Linked DNA regions of Notamacropus eugenii. The protein of the gene in region 2 interacts with the protein of the main gene of each other region in a biochemical or structural test. Links are inferred from orthologs where the notes say so. Each region holds a gene or a part of one and is shown on either strand. Other genes may lie near its edges.

Evidence for each region.
Region 1: the proteins of TNFRSF8 (region 2) and TNFSF8 form a complex in vitro, tested with the Homo sapiens proteins (2 studies listed by BioGRID and IntAct). The link is inferred for Notamacropus eugenii from reciprocal best matches to the Homo sapiens genes TNFRSF8 and TNFSF8.

The regions. Positions count from the first base shown.
Region 1 is NC_092872.1:434,232,703-434,242,467, forward strand, and holds the start of TNFSF8 (tumor necrosis factor ligand superfamily member 8), read right to left. Parts: upstream 4,015-9,765; 5' UTR 3,797-4,014; coding exon 3,659-3,796; intron 1-3,658.
Region 2 is NC_092876.1:51,537,678-51,547,478, reverse strand, and holds the start of TNFRSF8 (tumor necrosis factor receptor superfamily member 8), read right to left. Parts: upstream 4,587-9,801; 5' UTR 4,204-4,586; coding exon 4,141-4,203; intron 1-4,140. UniProt on the Homo sapiens protein: Receptor for TNFSF8/CD30L. May play a role in the regulation of cellular growth and transformation of activated lymphoblasts. Regulates gene expression through activation of NF-kappa-B.

The DNA.
Region 1 (9,765 bases), on a different chromosome or scaffold from region 2:
TACAATAGATTTTCTCACTATAGGTCCAGTTTATTTTCAGAAAATCTCTTCTATACATTGCTTTTATTATAGGTGTTCTCTCCCTTGTCCTGAATACATACACTAATACATTATTTAATGAGTACACCATTGGCCAATTACCCAATTATTCATGACTATATTTTTTGGAAAAGTTTATTCAAATACTACCATTTCAAGTTTTAATTACTCTATATAGCTTTTCCTGACCTCTCTAGTTCATATTGCAGATTTCTTCCTACTCTGAACCCCTCAAGAAATTGATGTTGTGAATTTGACTCCCTTCATACATTACTGAAGGCATTGTTACCTATATAGATGATCTATATTGTTAGGCATGTATGTGACTTATTTTTTTCAGTTAGTCTATAAGCACTTGAATGAACCTTTCAAGTCTGGCACATTGTCCATCTAAGAGTCTTTCAGCCTAAGCAGGTGAAACTTCTCTGGGAAAGAAATAAAAATGTCCCCAGTCATGTAATCAGTTTTTCTAATCCATTTATACTTCCAACTAGAAAAGTCAGCTTATGGAAGAGAGGGCACAAGGTTTGATTTAAGGATATTTCTACTACTTTGCTTGTTAGGAAATAAGACAACCATACTCAATAAATGCCCAAACATTTCTCTGTTGAAGCAAATAGAAGAACAAACGTTTACAATGGTATTGAATGAGAATTCATAATAGGATAGAAAGAGTACTATGCTAGATTAGGTGACCTAGGGTGTAGTCCTGCTTCTACCTCAAAATGTTGTTTTGTCCCCTGAGCCCCAGTTCCATCTATAAAATTACCAAGTGGGATCTTTAAGATTGCTTTCCAGCTGAACATTCCATGTTCTAAAGTCCCTTCCATCTCTAATATTCTATATTCTAAGCTCCTTTCCAGCTCTAAAGTTCTACATTTTAGTGTTCCTTCCATTTCCAACATTCTATATTCTTACATTGTATGTTCTAATGTGTCTTTTCAGCTCTAAGGTTCCTACCAACTTGAGCCCTATGCCAAGAATATTTTTCGGAATTATTTTTGGCTCTGTATTGCCTGATTGATCTCCATCTTCCTCTTTGATTTTATTAGATGAGCTTTATACATATATGTATACATATATATACATGTGCATTTATATGTATGTGTATACATACACATAGTGACAATGACTCAGAACGGAAGTCATGTTAGGATATTTGAGGGCATTGTCCCATTTGGATGAATATATTCCCAGCTAAAAGTTCTCTCTCAACAACTGCCTGGTTATTTACATTGTTATTATGATATAATATCTGGGTCCATTAGTAAAATATTACTGCCTATGATGTTGCGTGTAAACTATGAAAAAAAGACTACTTCAATTTTCTTGTGATAGCCATTGATATGTGAGGATAGACATTAATTAATTATTCCACAAGTGATCAATAACCTATATAATTAGAGTATTTTGAAAGCCTCAATCCAAAGAAAGCTGCTTTAAAAGTAAAACTAATGTGTCATTTCCTTACAGATTGGAGTCTAACTTTATTTGGGATTGGCCATCACCTTTAACCAAGCCAGGTATATTAAAATCAATTATTGAAATGTGTTTTCACATCTAGTTTGGGCTCCTGACTTTCAAAAACTGACAATGAGGTGTGGCCACAGACAGCTGATTTTTAAGAAACTTTCAGTCCTTTGTCCTGAAGGACCATGAAATGTCTGGCTACTTGTATATCATGTGCTACTCAGTAAAACCAGAACATTTCATGAAACTCAGAATCACCTCAATAGCATTCTAAAATAATGAGCTCTGGATTGCATTATGATGACCATGCTGTAGTTTGCTTTGATTTTAGTTTTATCAACAGTAACGAAATTTAGTTTGGAAGATTCCTTTACAAGAATTGTGCTTTGGACTCATAGTTCATAACTTTTTCCTTCTGATTTTTCCTCTGTTGTTAATAACTTTTGTCTCCCACTTTAGTGGTTAGTGCCCTCCCCCAAAATCACTCTTTGTACATAGCTATGTACATATATGTTATCTTTTCCTACTAGATTATAAATTTCTCTAGAACAAGGACTGTTTAACTCTTACCTTTTTATTTCACTTACTAGCACAGTGTGCTCTGATATATAGTAGAAGCTTATTAAATACTTGTGGATTTCATGATTCCACAATAATAATAGTATTTGTGGTGGTAGTAGAAGACCACAATTATGTAGCATCCTAGGGTTTAAAAAGCGCTTTCCTCAAAGCCCTGTGAGGTAGGTAAGGCAAATATTTCTTCTCCCTAGAGAAAATTTCTCCCTAAATATACATGGGACTGATGACCCCTAAAGTCTTTTCACATTTTGAGAGTCTGTAATACCCATTTTATAAATGAGAAGACTGGGGCTCCAAGAGATTAAATAATTTGTCTATGCTTACCTAGATGCTAAGTGTGAGAGTCTCAGTACCTTCAACTGAAATGAAATAAGAACAACTCTGTACAGGAGTCTGGAGATCCTGGTTATAATTCTGGCTTTCACATGAATAAATGATTTGGTATTGGGCAAGTTGCTTATAGTATCTGACCTTTGGTTTCCCAATTTGTAAAATGAGGAGATTGAACCAGATAATCTTTAAAGTCTTTTCCAGTCTGACTATTTCGAGGTTCAAACATACTATATTTTAATAGTTTTTCTGACTCCGTTCTAAGTAGAGAAAAACTAAGGTCGTCATGGAAAAGTCATTGGAGCCCTCAAAGTTCATGGTACTGGTACTAGTACATAGTACACCTTCCACTACCACCATTGAAAATTAGAATATTTTGAGGAAGGCTTGAGGGAACGTTCCACCTACTTTGGTGCTGAGAAACACTTTTCTCTTTTTTGGAGGGTGGTGTCCTGGGTGTAGTAGATATGACAGGGGAGCTTTCAAGAATGGACCTCAAAGCAAACCTTCCAGATAGCCCTTTTCACTCTAGAAGGGTCCAGCATTGAAACATCCATGTAAAGCCTTTCGTCCACTTCAACTCTCAGGGACATCATTGCCTGTCTTCTCTACTAATGTGACCGTGGGCATCTAATTTCTCAGTCTTTCAGGTTCCCATCAATAATTTGGAGGAAAACCCCTAATATCTGCATTGCCTCTCTCATAGAGTTATTGTGAAAAAAATACCTTAACATAACAAAGAAATGGGAGTAATTAGCAATTTTGCCCTGACAATTAATTCTTGGCTTACCTCCTTAGAGAGGAATCAACTTTTGGATTTAACATTTGAAACATTTAAATGGGTCTTAATTTGCACTTGAGGGTCAAGTCTTTGGAATAGAAGAGAAGTGTATGTTTACGATATCACGTTGACTGCACTCATTGCTTCCTTCCATTCCTCTATGTCTGGACCTTTTTTAAAAAGCTGACTTACAACCTCACTTCCACCATGAACTTGTTGTCTGTTCTGTGGGCTCCTCTCCCTTAACTCTCTGAAATTTTTGAGGAACTACCCGAAAAAGTGTGCCCCTGCCAAACGAATGATTTAGCCAGAATCTGCTTCCTCTTTTCTCTCTGAGTTGTTACTGTTTCTCTCAAATAATTTATTGGGTTTTTCAAAGAATACCTCCAGGAAGAACAAAAAACAACAAAACAAAACAAAAATTAAGACAAGAAGGGGGAGAGGATGCCATTGACTTACCTTCTTCTGAACTACTAAGACCATTATAGTTGCCAGAGTAAAGATGAGACACAGAACCAGGGCAGCTGTGGTGAAATAAAAATAAGTCCGGCTAGTGGCCCTGAGCTGGCTTGTGACTGTGCCTTCAGACACATTCATGGCTGCCTCAAGAGAAGCATTCAGTTGGTGGAGGGACGTTTGCCGTGGTACAGAGGACTTTCTTTATATACCACCGCCCTCCACCTCACACCTTATCGCCCTTGATCTGTTGAGACTCACAGGCCATCTCTGTTCCAAATAGGATTTTCCCCCTTCATCCTGGATCATGTGACCTGGAAAAAAATCTTCACTGTTTGTCGGATGAAGAAAGACTTCTCTGGGGGCGTGAAGTGAAAGACAGCAGGCAATGGGAGAAAGAGATTCATTTTCTTGCCAAGGATTTTGTTGCTGGTCGTCTGGTGAGCTACATTGAAGGGGTCTGATGTCAGAAGACAAGTGGGAAGCAAGCTCACCCCCAGCTCCCTTTGTGTGTGAAGTTGTGTGCACTGACTTGTGTTTCACTTATAGTCACCAGCGGTGGCAGCTGAGTACTTCAGCTAATGCTTTCTTCTTCCAGACAGTCATTTCTGCACGGTGCTCTCCACTTAAAAGTGTTACCTACCCATAAAGCCCACATCTGTTTGGGGGTCAGGAAGACTGGATTTCACAGTGGAAAGGTTATTTCCCCTTGCTGGGCCTCAGTTTCCTTACCTGTAAAATGATGGGATAGAATTAGATGGTCTCTAATGTTCCTTTTAGATATAAATTTTGTTATCCTATAATTCAAAAGAATTAGTTTTACTAATATTAATACCTGTGGTTAGGTTAAAAATGGACATCTCTCATTAAAAATGGGCATCTCTCTCTGTCTCTCTCCCTCTATCTATCTATCTATCCATCTATCTATCTATGTCTATGTATATAGTTATCTATCCCTCTGTATATGACTATAACTCTATATCTGTATGCATATAGCTATCCATATTTTTGTAGGGTCTCTCTCTTTAAAAGCATATTGGAGTAGTGGGAAAAAGTCTTGTATCTGGAGTGAGAGGACCTGTATTTTAGTCCCACCTCTATTACTTTGGTATCTGTGTGATCTTGGGTAAATCACTGAACCTCTCTGAGCCTTGGGATCTTCAGCTAAAAAACTAGAAGGGTTGACTAACTATTCTCTAAGGTCCTTTTCAGCTTCAAAGCTATGAAATAAATAGACAAAATCCTTCTGAGACTTTTGGAAGGATAGGAAGGTTACTGGACTGAGGTCTGGCTCAGTCACCAATTCACTATGAATCAATCCCTTTCCTTCTCTGGGACTTAGTTTCCCTACTTATAAAAATGAGGGGATTAGATTAAGAGGTATCTAAGATCCATTCTGGTTTTGAAGTTCTATGAAAAAGTTCTAATAAATATATCTCAAGGGTTAGGTTAAATATGCTATTGGAGAACATTGTCTCAACAGATACTATTGACCAATAAACTGGTTGACAGAAAAAATCACCTGAACAATGTATCTGACGTTATTGAGTCTGCTGTCAACCAGATTAAGCAGCAGTACTGTCACATTTTCTATACTAAACAAGGTCTATGGAAATCATTTGGTGCTGGCTACACTGGCATGTCAAAGGAGTAACATGACTGAAAAAGAAGGCCACATATGTTCTAATCACCTATTTTACCTTCATGGAAAACAGGTCCTGAGTTTTAAACAATTAATGTGCTTTCACCAGATAATCTGGAAACATCCCAAATAGTCTTCTGGGTGAAGAATGATTTCCTCAGCTGTAATGGAGGGACTATTAACCTTTTTTGTGTTCTGTACCTCCCTCTTTGGCATTCTGGTGAAGACTATGGACCCTTTCTCACAATAATATTTTTTTAAATGCATGAAACAAATCACATAGGATTACAAAGCAAACCAATTATATTGAAATACAATTGTCAAACACTTAAAAAAAACAACCTAAATTCATGGACCTCAGGCTAAGAACACCTAATACTTACGTGGAGTTGATACATGACTGTTGAATGCCTCACTGAGAACATACCTTTGCCCACCTCAGACTGTTCTAAAAGTTTTTTGCTTGTATTCCTTCCTTACTTCCTGATGTTGGCAAAAGGGGTTATTTGACATATTCACTATACTAAGTTATCCAAATACTTTAAAAATAAACTGCAGCAATTAAAGTAGCATTATTTGAGCTTTGGAACTGCATTTTCCCACACTTCATTGCCAAGATTCAAATATACATGGAATAATTTTTTTCTGGAATTAAATTTTAGGTCAGGTAGACAGGTTTATCTAGGGCATATTTGGACATTTGGTTTTGGATTTTCTCTGAACCGTTCAACTGAGACTCTGAGTTTTTTTTCTAGAATTGCATTTAGAATCAGAATTCTTATCTGCTAGTTGGTTTCAAATGTGGCATCTTGTCTCTTTATTGAACCCTTCCCATTCCACTCCAAGTGATTTTATTTGGAGAATACCTTCGGATCCCATGGCTTTCCCAGGGTCTACCCAGCGGCTGAAGCCCAGCTTAGCTAATAGTTTACATTCCCTTTACTTTAATTTTGGACTGGGGCTGTAATTCCCTTGGTGTAAGGAGCTCTTCTCAGACAGACCCTTTCTCTATAACTTCAAGTCTTACAGAGGCATCTACAGGCAGTGAGAGGTTAATTGATTTGCTCAGGATCATAGAGTCATGTGTCAGAGGCTGGACTTTTATCTGGAACTTTTTGATATGGAGGTAGGCATTCCATGATGCCATTCTGACTCTCACATTTCTATAGCACTTTAAAATATTCAGAATATTGGAATAGCTAGGTGGTACCGTAGAGCACTAGTCCTGGGGTCAGAAGGACTTGAGTTCAAATCTGGCCTCAGACATTTACTAGCTGTGTGACCCTGGGCAGCTCACTTAACCCCAGTTGCCTCCAAATTAAAAACTTATATACATAAATATATGTATATATATATGTATATGCACACATATATCTACACACAGAGGGATAAATACAATATATACATGTATGTACACATGTACGTATATATGCATACAGACATGAGGGGAGAGAGAGACACAGAGAGAGAATGAGAATCTTCTTTACGATAGCCCTGTGAAGTCCAGAAAGCAAACATTCTTATGTCTCTTTGAAAGATGAAAAATCAGTCTCAGAGTCATCCATAGGCTTTGCCATGGCTAATAAGAATACCAGTACACACTTACACAGTGCTTTAAGTTTGGCAAAACACTTTCTTCACAACAATCCTGGACAGTAAATATTAGAAGTGTTATTATTCTCATTTTATAGATGAAGAAGCTGAAGCTCTGTATAAGTGACATGGCCGAGGTTTCACAAATGGGAAGTGTTAGACTCAGGATTTGAACCCAGGCCCCTCCTGACTCTAGGCCTAGCCCTCTTTCCAGGACAGCATGGTATCTCAGCCTGCTGCTACCAGAGCTGGAACTTGAGGCCAGGGGTTCTGACTGTAAGGCAAGGGGCTCTTTCCAGTATACTGCCTTGCTTCTCTTTAGAAAGAAAGAAATTAGCTTAATCTCTCAGGACTGAGTCATTCAGTGTCCTTGATTCTTTGTTTCCCATGCAAATGTTTCATTCTGACTTAGCTTGCATTGTTCTCTGTGTTAGGAATAGCCTTTCTTTTCCCCTTTACCTGGTGAATTCATTTCTCTCTTGTAGAGGCTAACTCTAGGGCAGCTAGATTGTGCGATGCATATAGTGCTGGACCTAGAGTCCAGAAGACTTGTCTTCCTGAGTTTAAATCTGACTTATAACATTTACTAGCTGTGTGACCCTGGGACCTTGTTTGCCTCATTTTCCTCATCTGTAAAATCAACTGGAGAAGGAAATGACAAACCACTCCAGTATCATTGGCAAGAAAACCCCAAATGGGGTCACCAAGAGTTGGACATGACTGAAATGACTGAACCAAAAAGTAAAAAGAGAATAACTGAAATGCCACATTCTTCATGAAGTTTACTCTGATTCTGGATCCCCTCCTCTGTCATGACCCTTCCCCTCAAATCTCACATGGTACCTTGTACCTCTCTTGGACCTGTTCCCTCTAATTGTTTGTATGACAGTTGTCTGTGTATGCATCTTATCTCCTTGTGTGCTGTAGATTCTATGAAGTCAGGATAGGGAGTACATTGTACCTAAACTTTCTATCTGCTTATACAGAACTAACAGTAAGTGAGCACATAGTACAGTGCTCTGTACATAGTAGATATTTAATAAATGTTTATTCAATGGGTAAATCTACAATAATAAAGTATTATCATTAATAATAATAACCTGGCTAAGTCTAGTCAACAAGCATTTACCATGTGCCAGTCACTGTGCTAAGCCCTGCTGATACAAAAACGGCAAAAAAATAGTCCTGACTTTCAAAGTGTCCACAGTCTAATGGGAGTACAACATTCAGAAAACTATGTACGAATGAACTATATACAGGATAAACTGGAGATAATACCAGAGGGAAGACTTCAAAATTAACAAGAATTAAAAGGACCTTGCAGAAATAGGACTTTACCTGAGATTTGAAGGATGTCAGGGAGTCTAGGAGGTGGAGAGAAAAAGAGAGTTCCAGTCATTGGAGTTTATTGAATTGGAAGAGAGGTAGGTGACATGGTCAGATTTGAGCGTTAGGAAGATCAATTTGATAACTAAGCGGAGGACTGTGAAAGATGGAGGCAGGAAGATCAGTCAGAAGGGTATCACCATAGTCCAGGAATGATGAAATGAGCAACGAGGCAATAAATCATATCAGAGGAGAGAAGTATATAATTATCTCTTCCATATCACTACTTGCCCTGCCATGATTTCAACATATCATATGAAATTAAATGGGAATTTGGGAATTTGGCAGGAGTTTAGTGGAAGCCACAGATGACACACAAAGGCCAGCAGACAACACAGAGTCTATGACCAAATGCTTAACTCTAGTTTTACAATGAAGTACCATAAATACCCATAACAGAGAAAGAAAAAATTTCAGATTTCTTCTATGGAACAAAGGAGGGTAAAAAATTTTTATGAAGATTTTCTAGGTCACGAGGGCACCATACCCCTAACCCCTCAAGTGTGGAAGGGATAATTATATAAGAAAGATGTTGCACAGCCAGAAACAAATATAAATGGCAAATGATTGGATATGGGAGGCAAAAAAGAGTGAAAAATTGAGAATAATACTAGGTTGTGAGCCTGGCAGGTTAACTGTGTCCTCAATAGAGAAATTAGGAAGAAGGGAGGATTTTTAGGGAAAAGATAAAGAATTCTGTTTTGGTCATGTTGAGTTTAAGATGTACATAGGACATCCAATTTGAGATGTCTAATAGGCAGCTGGAGATATGAGACTGAAGGTCAGAAGAGAGGGTAGGGCTAGATAAGTAGATTTGAGAATGATTTGTTTAGAGATAAAAATTGAATCCATGGGAACTGATGAGATTATCAAGTGAAATAACCTAAAGGAAGAAGAAAAGAGACCCCAGGACAGAGTCCTCTGAGACACCCCCTTCCCACCCCCTGCAATGTAAGCAGGTATAATCTCAATGGTGATCCAGTAAAGATAGAAGAAGTGATCAGACAGGCAGGAAGAGAAACAGAAGCGAGAAATGATCCAAGAGACAAGAGAATATTAAAGGGAAAAGGGTATCAAAGGCTATAGGGAAGTCAAGTAGGATGAAGACTGAGAAAAGGCTATTAGATTTGGCAGTTAATAGCTTTATCCTTCTAATTGATCTCCATGCTTCCAATATCTCTCCACTCCAATTCATCCTCCTCTTGACTGCCCAAAATGATTTTTTCTTCTGAAGTTTTGGTCTGACCTCTTACTTAATAAACTCCAGTGGTTCCCTATGATACCAAGGATCAAATATAAAATTATTTGACATTTCAAGCTCTCCATAACCTGACCCCTTTCTAATCTTTTTATACTTTATTCCTTTCCCTGTACGCTGTGATCCAGCTGACCCTCTTCTCTCCTCGGCACTTTCCTTGGCTTCCTTAATATTCAGCTCAAGTCCTTCCTTCTGCACATCGCCTTCTCAGATTTTCTTAGCTTCTAATGA
Region 2 (9,801 bases):
CTGGAGTTACTTCTTCTCCAGTATGTCTCTCCCCAGTTCCTTTAACCAATCATCACTGGGCATGGACTGGGGGCCCCTTGCCATCTGGCTTATCCTTCTCTGGACACTCTGCAGTTTATCTGGGTCCCTCCTAAACTGTACCAGAACTGAATGTAACACTCAAGATGCTGTCTGACCTGGGGTGAATCCATGTGGTCTCAATTCCTGGAAACTAAGCCTTTCTCAATGTAACCCAAGATTACAAAAGCTCTTTTTTTTTTTTTTTTTTTTTGGCCACTATCACTTTTCACCTACCCATAGAGGACTTGAGAATTCAGGAAGACCTGAATTAAAATCGAGCTGCTGGCACTAACCAGCTATGTGACCTGTGGGCAAGTCATTTAACCTGTCTGAGCTTCAGTTCCTCCATCCTGTAAGATGCAGATAGCACTACTTCACAGGGTGGGTTGTAAGGCTCACATGTAGTCATGTATGGAAAATACTTTCCAAGCTTTAAGAGATATGAATACCTGCTATAACTATTCCCTCTTATCTCTCAGCCATCTGACTTTTTTCCCCAAGGTTACTCTTGGCACATTGAAATCCAACACCTCTGAGATCCCCCTCCCCCATCCCTGACCTTGACACCTGCTGACCTCTCTCATCAGTGTTCTTTCCCCCATTAGAATCTTATACTCAGGGATCATCATCCTTTTCCTTTTGTATTCCCAGAGCTCAACACAGTGCAAGCATTCAGTAAATTTTGTCATCATTCATTCATTCATTCATTCATGCACCCTAGGAAGGCTCTCTCAACCCCAGATATCCCATCTGTCTCCAACAGCTCTACTACTTGAAATTCATGAGCTTATAGATTAGATCTTGAAAGAGTTTTAACAGACTGTCTATTCATAGTAGGATCTTTGATCTAGAACTGTAAGGGATTTAAGACACAAAACTCATCCAACTCCTTCATTTTACAGTTGGGGAAACTGAGGTGCAGTGGATAAGTGACTTGCCCTCAGTCATTGAGGGAGTAAATGGTGGAGCCCAGCTTTGAACCACAAATTCTAAAGCCTGTGTTCTTTCTACTGTTACCACACTGCCCACATGTTCCGTTTCCGTTATAAAAAGCTGATTGAGAGCAGACACTCCTTTCCCTCCTACTCTTTCTTTGTCTCAGACCCTCCTTTGACCTGGATGTCCTTCTAGAGAAGACAGCACATTGTTTGGGTCACATTCTAAAGCAGATAGAACAGTAAAATGGTCCTCGGATCATATCTTCCTTCTTCTGTTCACTACCTGTGCAATGTTGGATAAGTCACCAACCTCCTGGACCTCAATCTCCTTGTCTGAAGAATAAAGGGGTTGGACCCAGTGATCTTCGAAGCCCCTTCTAATTTTAAATCTTGAAGCCTACTGTATTGATCTGGGTATGTCAGATAAAATCCCAGGATCAGAGAATTTCAGAGATGATGGCACTGCAGGAACCATTGAGTACACCTCATACCCCAAAAAGAATCCCCTCTTGAGCATACTCCACAGCAGGTCATCTGGCTTTGGTTTGAATACCAAAGTGGAGGAGTGGAGGATCTCACCTTCTCTCTAAACAGCCCATTCCACTCAGCTCTTTGTTCATTAAGCTCCTCTTGATGTGGAGCCTAAATCTGTCTCTCTGTAACTTCCTCTATAATCCCACTGGATCTGCCTTCTGGGGTCAAACCAAGTAAATCTAACTGTTCTTGCACATGACAATCTTACAAGTATATGAAAACAACTGCCATCTCCTTCTGGAGCTATCTCTTCTCCAATCTAACTCTCTCCAGCTCCTTTAACCAATCCTCACTGGGAATGAATTGGGGCCCCCTTGCTTGTCCTTCTCTGGACACTCTCTACTTTATCCAGGTCCCTCCTAAACTGTGCAAGAACTGAACATAATACTCAAGGTGCTGTCTGTCCTGGGCTGAGTCCATGTGGTTCCAATTTCTGGAAACTAAGCCTTTCTCAATATGACCCAAGATTACAGTAGCTTTTCTTGGCCACCATTACTTCTGATCCACCCCTAGAAAACTATAAATTACTTGAGAGCAGGGATCATTATTTTTCCTCATAGTGTTGTGTTTCCTCATGCCTTATAGAGAGAAGTCAAAATTTTGCTAAAAACAACCTGCAGTTCTTGGCCCTGGGGAATCACAGAGCTGTGGGAAGCCAGTACCTCTCAAAGTCATAAAATAAGCTAACAGTTCAGCAAACCCCAATTCTTAAGCCTACAACTTCTGGTTTATGCTCAAGTTCAGAACTTGGTGGTGGAGGAGTGGGGGCAGGGGGTGCTGTTAAAAGCCCTAAAGGGTAATGGGATGGGCTAAGCAATTACTTACTGGAAGGCAAGGGGTCCCAGCTCCAGAAGAGTTCAGGACTACATGGGGTTGTCTGCAGGGTTCATACTTGGTCACCCCTCGAGTTTATCTTTAGTGATACCCCTGGTTCTTTTTCACCTTCACCTTCCACCTCACCTACTCCTTCTTCACTCAAGAGCCATCCCTCAACTGACTATTGTGCTATATAGAAATAAGGAATGAAGCAAGTGGAGAGAAACTCAGAGGCAGAGATAAAATGTCCTCTGGTGGGCTCCTGCCGGAAATCAAAAACTTCTCTGAAAACAACCTACTTGGAAAGAACGAACTTACAGGTCATCTAATCCAACCCTGGAAGGCAGTTGTTATATTAGACAAAGCTGGAACTTGAGTTCAAATGCTGCCAATGTGATCTTGGACAAGTCACTTAATCTAAGCCTCAGTTTCCTTATCTGTAAAATGAGATGACCTGTAAGGTTCTTTGGTCCTAATCCATGAAACCTGGGCTCTGAGCCCTCATCTCACACTCACACATGTAATTTACACATACGCGATTGTGTGTGACACACAACTGACACCAGGTCCTTGTGCATCTGTTGCAGGAATAGAAAAATCTCTTGGCCACATGTCTTTCTCAAAGCCAGTACAACCTGACGTGATGGGGATTAGATGTGGCGGTTTAGTTCAAGTCTCAGGCTTGGAAGACCGTGGATGCTTTGACCATTTGTATGTAATTGTACTTTGTACATTAGCAGGCGGAATGATCTGGCTATTACTGGAATTCCAGAAAGGAAACAGAAGCCCCGAGGTACTAAGTAACTTATCGTGGTCACATACTAATACGCAGGGCAGAGATTTGAGCTCAAGCTCTCCGACTCTAAAGTCAGTGCTTTCCACCACAAGTACTTCCTTAAGATTTGCCACATGTCTTCACAACGGTCCCGTCAGGGAGTCAGTGCCAAGTAATATCATCCCCATTTTATAGAAAAGGGTAAGATGTAACTTGAGCAAGGACAAAACATCATAGATTCAGAACTGGAAGATTATTTGGTCCAACCACCCCTCCTCCATTTTTCAAATCAGGAAACTGAGACCTAGAGAGAGATTCAGGGACTTTTCCAAAGTCACAGCAGTCATAAATGGAAAAGACAGGATTCCAGTGCAGGTCCTGTGAAATCAAGGTTAGGATTCTTTACACTCAACTATGCAAAGGGGTCAAGCCAGAATTCAGAGCCTGGCTAGGTTCACAGAGAGATTAAGCGATCAGGCCAAAGTTAGTAGGTAGCAGAGTCGGAATTCGAACTCGGGTCCTGAGTCTCTTTTCACTAACCCCACTCTTATCAGCCCCGTGACCAAGGCAGGCAGAGATTATTAACCCCATTTTATGAATCAGGAAACTGAGGGGAAGACCTACGGAACTGGACTCCTGAGTGCTGTGGTTACTGAACATAGATAAGTAACCTTGAGAACCCGGGACCAATGTCGGGTAGCTCAGCTGTCTCATGCTCTCCAGTGCCGAGGCTGCTTCTCTATCCAGAATCCCCCACTCTCTGCTACTGTTGCCTCACAGGGTAGGAGAAAATTAAGATACCCAAAATTCACGCACATGTTCGGGTAAATGACAGTAACCAGATTCGAACCCCAGCCTACCGACCCTGTTAAACACACTTTCTACCACACCACGCTGTCTCAGTCCACAGCAGCACTCTGGAGCCAGAGTAAGGGGACGGGGAAGGAAGCTTGGCCAGTGCGGCCCAACCAGTCCTGCATGTCCCAGGATCTCCGGGGAGAATCAGCACTGACTTACCTGCGGGAGGGCCCCGACCACTCCAAGGAGCAGCAGCCCCAGGGCAGCGCTCCGTCTAGTCATGGTCTGCCCAGCTAGAACGTCACCAAGGAGGAGGAGGAGGAGAAGGAGGAGAAAAAGGAGTTGGGGCGATCGAGCCTGGACTCCCCGACAGCCTGACGCGTCCGCGAGCGAGCACGAGGGGAGCCCTTTCAGCCACCCGCCGGGGGACCCTGAGCTATACACCAATTGAATGGAGCTAGCGGGCGGCGGGCGGGCGCACACGCGAAGCCCAAGTCCAGGTGCTGTGCGCGCTGCAGCCCCGGAGCGCTCTGCTCAGCTGTGCTCCGCCCCTCCCGGGGTATCCGCTTGAGGCTGCTGCCTGCTGGCCAGCCTAGCCCCAGCCGCGACCCCAGCCACAGCTCTGAGCCAGGCAGCCACCAGGCGGGAAGCCGCCACGGACTTGCAAACCAAGGCACGGTTTCCCGGCACTGCGTGGGGCCCAGCGCGGGGCTGTTCAGTAACTTCGAAAGAGCCCTCCTCTCGGTTGGGCGCGGATTGTCCCTCCCCTCCCTTTTCCCCCAACCGCCACCCCCCCCCCTCTTCCCCCATCCTTCGCACCTTTGGACCAAAAGAGATTGGGGAAGGATAAGATTTCGTTGGGTTTCCAGGAACTGGGAGACTTGGAAAGACGTAAGAGAGAGACCCTAAGTGAAGGAGTGATTCTGTTTACCAGTTCACCCGTAATTCTGAGGGACTGGAGCCTCAGGGCTGCTTTCAGTCTGATTAATAGGATCACAGTGTTAGAGCTGGAAAAGAGGTGCCCTGGTATTATTGATAATCGCGTTATTACTATGGTTGACCCGTGCCTTCTGGGAAAATAACAGTGCCCAGCCCGACCTCATTTAACTCAGGCATAAGAAGGCCGGTTTCTGGTTTTTGTTTTTGTTTTTTTTTTTCTGTAAAAGATCTTAGAGGTAACCTAGTTCCTCATTTTGTAAATGAGGAAACTAGGGTCAATTCAACTGACCTGGGTTCAAGGCTCGTCCACGCACCTAGCCTCTGTGTAACCTTGGGCAAACCATCTCAACTTGTCAATCATCTAAAGCATGAAAAGGATTGGACTACTTGGTCTCTGAGGTCCACGGTTAAGTTAAAATCTATGATCCCCTGGCATTAAGTCGTAAAACCCAAATCCAAACTCAGGTCCTCTAACTCTAGAATAGCAGGGTCTTATCCTCTTTCTTTGTAACCTCAGTCCTTAGCTCAGTTCCTGGCACATTGGCAGTCTATTCAGAACACCGAAAGCTGCTTTTCTAGGTTTACTCTGAGCCAACCACGTTGTCTGGCCACGTCTCTCTGGGGCCAGAGATCTCTCTAGGGGTTAGGAGAGTGACGTCTAGCCAAAGGAAGTGGTTCAAGCATTCCCATTGCAAGAGGGAGGACACAGAGGGTTGGGAGAGCTCAGGGAAACAGCCCAGATAATCCTGTCAGGCAGGGTCTGCTCAACGGAGTGAAGTACTTGCCTGTCACAGCTGTTCCCAAGCTCTAGTCCTCAAGACACATTGACAATGGCTAAGATATGAAAGACCAGTATACCACAAGTAACGACAGTTTTTCCTCAATAGCACTAAGATGGTATACAAGAGTGAGCTGTTGCTAGCAACATCTCCCATTTATATAGGCTCCCCTCCATGCCAGCCTTATAAGGTAGGTTATTATAGGTATTACAGTCCTTATTTTACAGATCAAGAAACTGAGGCTCAGATGTGAGGAACAACTCTTACATTCACATAGTGAGTGATAGAGGCTGGACTTGAATTTGTCTCCTTAGAGAGAGAATTTTGCAGTGGAAATAGCTTGGTATAGAGTCATAGAACCATGTTCAAATCTTGTCTCTACCATTTACTATATGACCTTGGGCAAGTCATTTAACTTCTCAGGGCCTCAGTCTCTTCATCTATAAAATGAAAAGAGATGACTAAATGGTTCCTAAAGTCCCTTTCAGCTCTAAATCTATGACCCTATGACAAAGTCTGGAGAGTCAGCATCGTATAGTCAAATGGATAAGAGGAAAGTTCTGGATTTAAGTTCTATATCCTAACTGTGTGACCAGAGGAAAATCATTTAACCTATGCAAGCCCTAGTTTTTTCATTCATAAAATGGAAATAATATTTACCATGGATGGTTGTTGTGAGACTCGGATAATACATCATACTTGTTAAAATGACTCTGGCATCAGAGCACTCTCTTCCAAAACCTTCCTCTAAAACTTCATAGATTTATGAGCTTGAATGAGTCACTTAATTTCCTTGTACCTCAATTTCTAAAATGGGTTCTATGGTCCCTTCCAGCTCTAAATCTATATTCTCATTAAAGCCCTAGGTGAATATCAGCTAATAATAGTGATGACGGTGGTGATGGTAGTGGTGATGATGGCAGTGATGGTAGTGGTGAAGGTAGAGATGGTGGGTGTAAAGGTGGTGAAGGTGGTAAAGGTAGCAATGTTGATGGTGGTGGTGGTGGGGATGGTAGTGAAGGTGGTGACTGATGATGGTGATAGTGGTGAAGGTGATGATGGTGGTAAAGGTGGTAATGGAGATGATAGTGGTGGTTATGGTGTTATAATAGTGGTGAATATGGTGATGGTGGTGGTGGTGGTGATGGTACTTAGTCATCTGGAGGTCTGGGGTTGAATGTGACAAAATATTTGATGATCAATCAGTCAAACAGCATCTATCTAGTTAGTTGCTAATTACCTGAATGTATAATAATATAATATTCATACATATGTACTTCTCTTGACACTAGACTGACTCAGGTGAAATGACACTGAGTGGTTTCCCCATCTGAAGCTGGTTCTGTGCCAAACACACGTATTTTATTTCTCTTTTTGCTGGTCTAATTTCCTGGTTTTTAAGAATGGATGTTACTCCAAGGAAATGTAGCTCTAAAAGAGAGCATTTCAATAACTGTTCAAGGCATCGCAGTTGTTGCTCATCCTTCACTCTCAGAGGACCAAAGGACATCAGGAGGGTAATGTCTCAACTTGCAAGTAAATTAGATTTAAGTGCAGCAGAGCTGTGCAAAGTCATCAGCCTCACTCTCTCATCCAGAGTCAGAGACCTTGGTCTTTTAAAGCGAAGGTCTTTTCCAGGTCTCAGTTTGTCTGAGTCAACACCCATTCAGTAATTTAAGGCTAGGTAAGAATTAAGGCAAACGATGGCCTGACTTGCCTTCACGAAACAATTGATTTGGGAGGAGAAGATCCTCAGAGTTTCTAGCTGAAACATAAACAATTTCTATTTATACTCAGTCTGAGCCATCAAAACCCAAACAGTGAGCAAGTGAGGTTTGATACATAGAGAAGTAGAGCTGTTCTGGAATTACAAAAATTCCCAAATGGAGATGGAATTCTGCCATTTTGAACCATGTCACACACATGGCCAAAGATTAAAAAATTTATCCAGTATTTCAGTGGCCTGGGAACTTGATATAAGCAAAGCTAGACTTGGAAAAATGAATGCTTATCGAAAGTACACATAGCACCTTGTGTGATCTGTGGTTTCATGAAGAAGAATTAAAGAATATATGTCAATATTTGATGAACTCAATTCAAAATCAAGTAAAATAAGTGATTAAGGCAAAATGAGAATGTATTTCATATTAAAAGTCTTATTAAACGTAAAAAGCTGTAAAATCTATTGCATAAGTCAATAAATGTATTTTATTTTGACACATAGAACCCACACACTCCTGCATAATGTGTCTAGTCCTGTGCAAGGCAGAAGAGTATGAAGAACTTTTTCCGTTAAGGAGTTTAACCTCAGCTTTTGGGTTGAGATGAAAGAATAGACCCTTTTCCCCCATCCTCATTACCTCTTAAGCCTCTCCAACCTCTCCAAAATGTATGCAAAAGATAAAGCAATTGAGGTTGTCTCCCAAGTCCAAGACACCAAGAAACTGAATGAGGTAACAACTCAGTGAATAGTAGACAAAAGCTAATTCCTCATCCCTGATAAATTTATTTAACTCCCATTCTCCCACTGGCCACCACGCTCTGGCAAGGTAGCACAAGTTGGCCCACAGGCTTCCAACAAAACTCCGTTCTATGCCTTACCTCCCTGTGATGTGGAAAATCAAAAGTCAGAAATTGACTTTGGCTGGGATGGCAGCCTATCACTCAATGCTCATTCAGAAAACTAAGGAAAAGAGGGACCTGGGGCAAATCTGGAGACCCAGTCACAAGGACTGAAAAAGGGGCAGACTGGTCTCCAGAGGTGTCTGGTTCTATCCCTCTAAAGGTCACTTGGAGGCCAGCAAAGCATGAATTAGCCAATATGAAAGAAAGCAGAGACAGCTTGAAGATCCAGATCCCAGGGAAGACACCATCAAAGAAGGAGTCAGAAAGTGAACAGTAATGGGATATAAGAGAAAAGGATTTGAATTACCAAAGATCTCAGAAGGTAGGAAATTCAATGAAGGATCTTGAGCATATGCAGATAAATTAATAAGAAAAATATTAATAAGAGAAGAGAATATGGCCCCTATATCATTTAAATGAGTCCGGACATCTATTAATAAATATTTCAGAACAAAGAAAAATAAATCAATAAATAATAATAATAAATAATAATAAATCAATATCTGATGATGCAGAGGATGCTATGGATTCCCAAGAAAACTTGGAGCCTCAATAGGGTATTCCCAAATAATTTCAGAGAAAATGAGAATTATGAAAGCAGAATTTATGGCCTGCTCATCAGAATAATTGGCAGAATAGAAAAATTTGAATGCCAAACCTCACCAAAGAGGAAGCAACTGATTGGCAATTCAAATACACAGAAGTAAAGAACTCTGGAAAGAAAGGAGACAAAAAGCGAGAATGTTAAAAGAAAGTGATGTCTATACAAGCAAAATACATTGATTTCAAGGATAGAATACATGCATACAACATCAAAATTATAGGTTTCCCAAAAGAATACGAGTAGAAAAAAACTGAACATAATAATTCAAGAAATAATACAAGAAAATTGGCCAGAGCTTTTGAATTAAAAAAAAAAAAGCGTCAAGTGAAAGAATCCACAGATCACCTCCAGGAAAAAAAAAACCAGAACACCTATGCTACAAACTCCATGACACATGATAGCAAAAGTTTAGCAATTCCAATAACAAAAAAAATCTACAAACGACCAGGAGAAATATCTTCAAATATGACTGAAAGGAAATTCAAATAATATAAGACTATTCTGTATCCCCTAGAAACCACAAAACAGAATGGAATAATGTATTCCAAAGAGCAAAAAGGATGCTCTTTAAGATACATAGTGACACACTCTGCAAACTTTAGCCTAACATTAATGAAAAAAAATGGAAATATAATTTTAAAAGAGGTACTTGAACCATTCCTACAAAACAAACAAAAACAAACCTAAAGAGATGATTTACTTTGCAAACACCCAATTCAGACAACAGAAATACAAGAAAAGTAAACAAATGCAGCACCTAGAAAAAGGAAAGAGATTGGCATTTATATCGTATCTACTGTGTGCCAGACAGTGAACTAAGTGATTTTTATAAATGTTATCTCATTTTATGCTGGTAAGTAGGTCCTATTAACCACATTTTGCAATTGAGAAAACTGAGGCAGAGGTTAAGTTACTTATCAGTAAGAGGCTGAG